Bombyx mori: one gene and its partner. The protein of the gene in region 1 purifies or fractionates together with the protein of each later gene. This does not show direct contact. Links are inferred from orthologs where the notes say so. Each region holds a gene or a part of one and is shown in the gene's direction. Other genes may lie near its edges.

What was found.
Region 2: the proteins of nucleolar GTP-binding protein 1 (region 1) and mRNA turnover protein 4 homolog purify together in Homo sapiens (affinity purification with mass spectrometry; 3 studies listed by BioGRID and IntAct, counting the BioPlex papers as one, with this or other methods). This does not show direct contact. The link is inferred for Bombyx mori from reciprocal best matches to the Homo sapiens genes GTPBP4 and MRTO4.

What each region holds. Positions count from the first base shown.
Region 1 is NC_085108.1:531,200-535,490, forward strand, and holds the start of nucleolar GTP-binding protein 1, read left to right. Parts: upstream 1-1,318; 5' UTR 1,319-1,431; coding exon 1,432-1,479; intron 1,480-1,569; coding exon 1,570-1,722; intron 1,723-2,142; coding exon 2,143-2,264; intron 2,265-2,772; coding exon 2,773-2,908; intron 2,909-3,678; coding exon 3,679-3,780; intron 3,781-4,291. Other genes in the region: presequence protease, mitochondrial, read right to left, coding at 1-154. UniProt on the Homo sapiens protein: Involved in the biogenesis of the 60S ribosomal subunit. Acts as a TP53 repressor, preventing TP53 stabilization and cell cycle arrest.
Region 2 is NC_085111.1:7,659,803-7,664,368, reverse strand, and holds mRNA turnover protein 4 homolog, read left to right. Parts: upstream 1-1,629; 5' UTR 1,630-2,173; coding exon 2,174-2,201; intron 2,202-2,353; exon of another isoform or gene 2,354-2,436; intron 2,437-2,698; coding exon 2,699-2,943; intron 2,944-3,307; coding exon 3,308-3,556; intron 3,557-3,744; exon of another isoform or gene 3,745-3,887; intron 3,888-4,084; coding exon 4,085-4,300; 3' UTR 4,301-4,335; downstream 4,336-4,566. UniProt on the Homo sapiens protein: Component of the ribosome assembly machinery. Nuclear paralog of the ribosomal protein P0, it binds pre-60S subunits at an early stage of assembly in the nucleolus, and is replaced by P0 in cytoplasmic pre-60S subunits and mature 80S ribosomes.

The sequences.
Region 1 (4,291 bases):
TTTCGGTGCAAAGGAATCCATGTATAGTCTTCCCAACTTGAAGATTTTTTGATAAATTTTCCTTTTTCCTCAAAACCTCATTACTGTAACTTCTTTGCGAAGCCAGTCGGTGTTTAACTGTTTGCCGAAAACCATTGCGCAGTCTTGAATACATGGTTTGTTATTTGTGCTCTTTATATTCCTGGAACATATTTTCACTCACAGTTTTCGTGCTTATACAAATAATTGTTATTTTTCATTAATTCGTTAAAACAAAAAAATCCATGAATAGAAAGAACCTATTTAACAGTTTCAACAAAAATAGTATATTAAAAGAACTGTTTATTTTTTTAATTTTTGGGCATTTTCGAAAAACAAATGAAACATGATGCAATTTATTGATACTTACTGTTGAAGGATGCTGTTTTAAATCTCAATTAATAATCTTCGCAATTTTTTGTTTTCAGTTTTCTTATGTTACTGAATCCAGTTTAATAGTATTTATGTCTTTTAACTTTTTAATGTTAAAATTCAATTTCTGTTTTCTAACCTTACAAATTTACAGTCGGCTTATTGACAGTTTAGAATTGACAATGACGGCTTGTGACTTTTTTTTGTCACTCGGATAGGCGAAAGAAACATTGACGAACATCCTATACGACTATTAAATGTGAGCTAAACCCATGCCATGTAAGATAGATTATAGTGCTCAAGGATTTAAGAAAAAAATGTCTGACTAAAATGTTAGAAAAACTCGAAAAAGTCACGACTACTAATTTTTTATTCTGCAAATTTCTGCACTTTTATAGATACTAAACGGTTTTATAGGTTTATTTACTAACTTAAAATGTCGCTTTAAAAGAGTTTCTGTTTGAGAGTCACAGAACGTATTTACATTTACAAGTTAGTATGCTCACCGCGTGGCCATTCGATATTAATGAGTATTTAACAGTATAATTGAGAAGTAAATCCATTTTTTTGGGATAATCATTATTAATCCTTGTACTTGTACATTATCAGAATCAGTGTTTTTTTTGGATGTTTAAACATCCTGTATAGTAAAAGAGAAATAATGGGAAACTTGTTTTTTTAATGAAATTAACAATAAAGTCACAATCAGAGAAAAATAAATAAAAAACTGCTTGAAAAATAATTGACTGAAAATCTATTTAGCTCTTAGTAAATTCTCTTCGTTCTGGTCATTTCATTTCACCTACAGTTTTCTCTGATCTCATTTCTCTTATCTTCATTTAATACTTTCTTAAATTTATAACGCACTTTTCGGCCTTTGTTACAACATACTCACGTATAGGTTATATTTCTTTGCCTGTCCAACGAACAAATCAAATAAAAGGAAATCAGTATTGTCAAATATTCTTTTCAAACACGTGTTTACGTGTAATGCTCGTTATGAGCGATTATGATACTAAAATAGCACTAAATTAAAACAAAATGAGTTTGTACAACTTTAAAAAGATTGCTGTAGTCCCTACAGCTAAGGTAAGCGTATAACTGTATGAATCCCACAAATGTATTATGAAAACCATCATCTTATTGATAAGAATGTTAACCTCGAAATTTTGTTTTTAGGACTTTATAGACATAATTTTATCGAAAACACAAAGGAAAACTCCTACAGTCGTTCACAAGCATTATAAAATATCAAGAATACGTGGGTTTTATATTAGAAAAGTGAAATATACCCAGCAGAACTTCCACGACCGACTGTCCAGAATTATTCAGGTAAACAGCAACAGCGTTATAGTAATACGCAAAAGTAGCTACGTCACATCGAAAAAATAAATCTACAAATGTGTACATTTCCCAATTTTTTTCTAAATTTTTATTGTTCTTGGTTAAAATCTTAGTTTTCTAGAGACTCATACTGCTGGTGCCAGAACAATCTTAAAGAAATTTAAAGTTTCATTATTATTTTTTCACAAAACTATCTTCATTCTGATGTATGCTTCAACTCTCTTGAGTTTAGTTCTGATGCTTTTTCAAGACATTGTGTTACTTAAATTAAAAAGAAAATGTAAGAATAATCAAATCTCACAAGCTTCTGACTTGTTCATCTATTGAGCTGGGTATATTGATGTAACAGACTGACATATATCATAAATAAGTTATTAAACACATAGATTAATAAGATAATGTTTACAGGAATTCCCAAAGTTAGATGATGTCCATCCATTTTATGCTGATCTCATGAACGTATTGTACGACAAGGATCATTACAAACTTGGACTCGGACAGCTGAATACAGCCAGACATCTTATTGACAAGTAAGTCTCGATGATGTCACAAACTCTCATACAATATTAGTGTAAACCCATTTACAAATAAATTCCTTTAAAACTAACTTCGAAGGGCAGCCATTGTACTGTAGATAACTGAGACCTTAGAACTCATGTCTCTAGGTTGATGACGGCAGTTACACTTTAAATATCTTTGCGCTCCGGTAACCTCTTAACACCAGGTGGGCCATAATCTCATTCACTCTTCTAAGCAACAAAAAAATATATTAGTCAACTCTGACTAGAGATCTTTTACTAATTACCAATTATGTATTAAGCAGAATTAAAAATTTTTATTTTTTGATTACTAAATTTTTACCACACAATGTTTTTCCTTCACTGTGAAAGTCATTAGTGAACATTTGTGATGTGTGTTTCTCATTAGAAAAATTGTTCCTTGCTTCTGGGGTTCGAATACCAGCTCAGTCAGATCGTCTTATCTTTTAGGGCATGATTACTTCATATTTTATTCACATCCTTAATGCTTCATTTACAGTGTCGCAAAAGACTATGTGAGACTGTTAAAATATGGAGATTCGTTGTATCGGTGCAAACAGCTCAAACGTGCGGCTCTGGGTCGCATGGCCACCATCATGAAACGGCAAGGAGCTAATCTTACATACCTGGAACAGGTATGTCATACTTGTGATGATTCAACAATAAGTAGATTACAATCATAACGTTGCTGTCACATATTCTAGTAGTATTAAAGTGGTGTACTCAAAGGGGTTCATTCCAATATGAATGTTTCTTGCAGATATAGACAGTGTAACAATAGCATAGAGTAGCTTTTATAATTCTTCCAGATTTCATTTCTATGTACACTAGACGATGACCGATGACGTTTTTTTTTTATAAATTATGTTGTTTAGAAATTATATTTAAATACGAATCACATATTGATAGAATGATGAAATATCCCAAGCTCGTTTAGGCATTTTTAAGTGAACACGTGAGTTAAAAAGACAAATAATATAAATAAACAATTCATTTTCTTGGTCTAACCTTAAACCAAACACTCATTGGCTTCAGGTGGCTTAACAACGCTATCTGCTGAAATAGCTTTATTGTTATTGTGTCTTTAAAGCAGTTAGTTGCTGTAAATTATGAAAAATAGTACATATTATTATTCGCCAATAGATGTCGGGAAGAGTCATAAAGTTGATTATTGGTGAAGTTGATTATTGAAAACACGAATAAAACAACATTTTCTGAAAATAAATCGTAGCTAGATCGATTTATCGCCCCAGATTTTTATGAAAATCGTGGAGCCGTTTCCCAGATTCAAATTATATATAGGTATATACAAGAATTGCTCGTTTAAAGGTATAAGATAATTGTATTTAATGAATAAAAACCAAATACAACAATATTTTCTAATGTGGACTGTATTCTTTTGCAGGTCCGTCAACATTTAGCACGTTTACCATCGATAGATCCCTACACCAGGACGATAATCATCTGTGGATTCCCAAATGTCGGAAAATCAAGTTTTATTAATAAAGTAAGCAATGGAATTACTAATGATAAGACATGAGTCCCCTTGGATTTGCTTCTGTGCATTTGTACCATCAGTACCATCCAATATGAATACAGGCCTATCTCTCTTGATCACTGATATAGAGATCTATTTCAACAATTTAGTGTATTAGTGAGGGTGCTTGTTATCTTTTTAATTAAAAGATTGCTAAGTGCGGATTATATGAGTCGTCTATTATCAAAGGCGGCAATCTGTGCATTTGGACAAAAAAAATTTATTGATATGTCAATACAGATTTATTTGAATATAATCGTCTCCTTCAAAGAATACGGTTCAAAACCTGCATTAAATAAAGGTTAATAGTTATCCTGTTATTTATCTAAGATGTCGTTCCGAAGAGTTTTGTGACTGCCAATGGAATACAAAGTCAATAATTCGTTTTTCTGATTTACCAATCATTGTCCAAAAGTCAGATTGCCGCCTTTGATAATAGTCGACTCATATGAAGAAAGACACACAATGAACTGATTTATTA
Region 2 (4,566 bases), on another chromosome or scaffold:
TTAAATCGAGCAATTTTTAGGACGATGTTACCGTAATAAGATTCCTGAATTTCAAAAGAAGTACGTATCTACCTACCATAGTCATTTGTTGGTTGCGTTACTTTTCTGAGAATTTTTTTTCTATTTTTTGCAAAGGTATTTTTTCATCCTGAACATTGTTCGTTTTTTTTACATTAGCATTTATTTAAGTTAAAAAAAAACCTTTTTTCTATTTCGTGAATTCGGTGAATGAGTCCACAACCCCAGATGATTCGGGTAGCCCTAGGTAACCTAAGGCTCTGGTAACTTTAGTGTAGTCAAAGTTTTAATAATTCTATTGGGTAAAAGCTGTCTCACCCTTGAAACGGCAAAAACAGGCAAGACGACGCCGCGTCGCGACGGTAATGCAGAATTTACATTTCGAAATTAGTGTCATGCATGTTGAACTCAGTTTCACGAAAGTAGTTTTGATATATTAATAGGCGAAAGTAATTTCGTTAAAAAATTAGTGTCGCGAAATCCACAGTATCGCAGTAAACATGGCGCCTTGAGCATCAAAGCTATATTTTGCTATATTCAATGTAGCTAAAGAAATGCTTATATACCTATAAACCTAAAAAAAGGCTATCCAGAAAAAAAAGACGTTGGTAGATTCGAGGATGGTTAACAAGAAGGCATTTAGGTGCAATGAAGTTAGTCTCTGAATTGGCAGATGAAGATCTTGAGAGCTATAAAAACTATTTTCGAATGAGTGAAGATAATTAATATAAGAAAGAGTAAAATTAATGTAACAACAAATGATATACCTAAGTACCTATGTGTGCATTAAACTGTAATAAAAAAAAAATATCTTTATTCCTCTTCGTTAATCTAACCATACTGTATTCAAATTAAATATAAAGATAAATCAAAGTCCCAGTGAGGATTTTAAATATGAATGTTACACAATCTAAAGCAGATTATATCAAAGCATAATAGTGATTAAAAATAAATTGATTTTATAAATAAAATAGCAAGGAAAATTAAATAGAACAAGAACTAAACTAATAAATTTAGATTCAGTTTATATTCAATTCTAAAACCATTACAGATCTATTTTCAGCATCGTTCAACTCTAAAAATGTCAGTCAACCTGTCAGGCCATAGATTATACACTGACAGGCGTCTCAAATATATTAAGTGTATAATCTATGCGTATCATGCTTTTAAATCATTACGAGACTTTTTTAGCGGGAACGCGAGCAGTGAAGTTGTGTGATTTGTTTTATTTTGTCTATTTAGTGTTTCTTCAGGTTTAAATGTGTAATAACGGTGGTTTATTAACTGTTTAATATCTGTGAAAGTGCACAAATGTGGGAAAATGAAACAAAGCTGCTGGACGTAACTTCTCGTGTTCCTCCAAAAAGTCCACTGAAAAAATCTCAGTAAATGACCACCATTTTACTGCGATTATATTTCATCCCATATCATCTCATTTCATTAAATTTCATCCCAGTTGATTAATGTCTCAAATTAATCATCTTCATTTCATTTCACTCCATATTATCATTTTTCATAAAATTAAGAATATAAAGTAAAATAAGACATGACTTAAAGGTCTCAGTTACCCGGTCATAAAAACTCTTAAAAAAAAAAAACATTACGAGACTTTTTGGCGGGAACGCGAGGAGTGAAGTTGTGTGATTTGTTTTATTTTGTCTACTTAGTGTTTCTTCAGGTTTAAATGTGTAATAACGGTGGTTTATTAACTGTTTAATATCTGTGAAAGTGCACAAATGTGGGAAAATGAAACAAAACCGCTGGACGCAACTTCTCGGGATCCTCCAAAAAGTCCACTGAAAAAATCTTAGTAAATGACCACCATTTTACTAAGATTATTTTTCATTCCATATCATCTCATTTCATTTAATTTCATCCCAGTTGATTAACGTCTCAAATTAATCATTTTCATTTCATTTCACTCCATATTATCATTTTTCATAAAAATAAAAATAAGAATATAAATTAAAATAAGATATGACTTAAAGGTCTTAGTTACCAGGTCATAAAATCACTTAAAAAAAATCATTACGAACTGTGATCACGAATATTAATTTACAACAAATCAACAAATCCAGTGCACGTGATTTTTGAAATTGCAGAACTAATTAAATTGTAAATTTTGTCTTTTCCATAATAAAATAATAAAACAAATATGCCGAAATCAAAAAGGGATAAGAAAGGTAAGTGACTTTTTAAAATCATACTTTAGCAGAGTGGCAATCACAGAACTTAGGGTTAAATTTGGTACCCTATGGCATTATTTGGATGTCAAAATAGATTGTATTCCGTAGATTTAATTTACGAATGCGACACTACAAAAAATCGTTCTAACCTTAAAATTGTCACCAAAAAGGGGTTAGGTGTGCTAGGAAAGTCTATTCTCTTTTCTAAAACTCCCAGAAGATAGTGAACAGCCTGTAAAGGTGATTAAAATATAAACAGCTTTCCATGCAGTATCATGCACATGTGAAACAAAACATCCAAGTTTCAAGTAATGATCAGTATCATAATAGCCTTCGCAAAATCCTTTTCATTTTCTGCCTTGAAATGAAAGTAAGCGAGTACTTAAGCAAATAAATCATTTTTAACCATTTGAATTACAATCATATAAATATAATAATTATTACAATTTCAGTGAAAAAAATCAGTATATCATACCTTAAATATTTGATTTCAGTATCACTTACAAAAACCAACAAAAAAGGTTTAGTACACAAACAAAAAGTCATAGAAGAAATAAGAAATTCACTGAGCAAATATGAACACATATTTTTGTTTACCATCAATAACATGAGAAATACAAAATTAAAGGACCTACGGAATGATTGGAAGGATTCCAGATTCTTTTTTGGAAAAAATAAAGTAATGGCTATTGCTCTTGGTAAGACCAAGAGTGATGAAATAGAAGAGCAACTAAATCTGGTGAGTGTATGTAGCTTAATTTAGTTTTGAGTAAAGCTGAATTGTGAAGACTGGATATCTATCATCAACAAAATATTTTAGAAGACTTTGACTTTGACTTACTTATTTCATCATCTTATATCTGGAGAACATAAATTATTAAATTGTGAACAATTTATAAGTATAATTTGAGAGAGAAACTACTAATTTGTCTTAGAAAATGGCATCCTGTCTAAATAATGTCTTCAAGCACTTCAATATTGAAAATTAATAAAGACAGTAAGAGTTAAAAGTAAAGCTATTGGATTTTTGTGACATCCAGCAATAATAAACTTCTATCATTTAGCGCATTAAATGTTTTAAATAAAGTTAATTTATGTTACAGTTATCAAAAAAATTAAAAGGTCAGTGTGGATTGCTAATGACAAATAGAGATGTGCCTGATGTACTGAACTGGTTTAAAAGTTATCAAGCATCAGAATATGCAAGAGCTGGCTTCATTGCAACAAAAGATGTTTTATTACCCAAAGGTCCTCTAGCAGATTTTTCACACACTATTGAGCCACATTTAAGACGTTTGGGCTTACCTACATCTCTAGAAAAAGGTGTTATCAATCTAATAAAAGAATATCAGGTAATGTGAAACACATAGTATTCACTAATATTTAGTTATTTTAATAGGTAACATTTGTGTTCATAGTGAGAGACCTGCTTAAAAACATCGATTAAAGTGAATGAATCAATAGACTTGAAACATATATGAATTTAAAAAATCATCAAGTTGTAGTAAAAGAAACCGGCGCTAGTCCACCAAACACTTACAAGTGACTTTTTCTGATTCAATTTCCGTTTAGGGCAGGATTTGGCTGGGTCTCCAGGGCTCAGCCATTGTGACGAGCGTTTCCGATTATCGTACAGTATCCACACTGGGGTTGTAACCCTTTCGGCCTCAACAACTCCAAAATCTATAAGAATTACCAAAATACAGACATTATATGTTGTACAGCAGTCAAGCACAACATTTTACTTAATTTCAAAATTTTGTAATTAGTTATGTGTTACTTAATACCTCAAAGTGTTGACATTATCGAAACATAATGTAGGCTGAAGTTTTAGTTACTGTGGTGTAAGTAATAATGGCAAATTCGTTTTGATTTTTTAGGTTTGCAAGAAAGGTGCTCCACTGACCCCAGAACAAGCAAGTATATTAAAATTGATAGGCATAGAAATGGCAGATTTTAAGTTAGTGATTAAATGTCACTGGACAAAAGGAAAAGGTATCCATATAGACAATGATTCTCCAAGTGATGAAGAACAGGCAGAGAATGATGATCATCAAGAAAATGTACTTGTAGACGAAATAATGGAAGAGACATAACTATTTTATTTAATCACAATAAATTATGTTAAGCATTACGTTTTTTTTACTAAGGTCAGGAATGATTTGTACATAATACTGCAAAATTACTTGCCAATTATCAATACTTCATTTTAAACTCAAGTGTAGGTTTTGCTTACATTTTTGTTTGGACTATCTTGTTTACTGTGCTAAATTTGAATTGTTAGGTACTACAAATAAAGTTATCCTAGATAATAAAAATCTTAAGAGAAGAACACTCTGGCACACCAGCCAGTCACTAACTT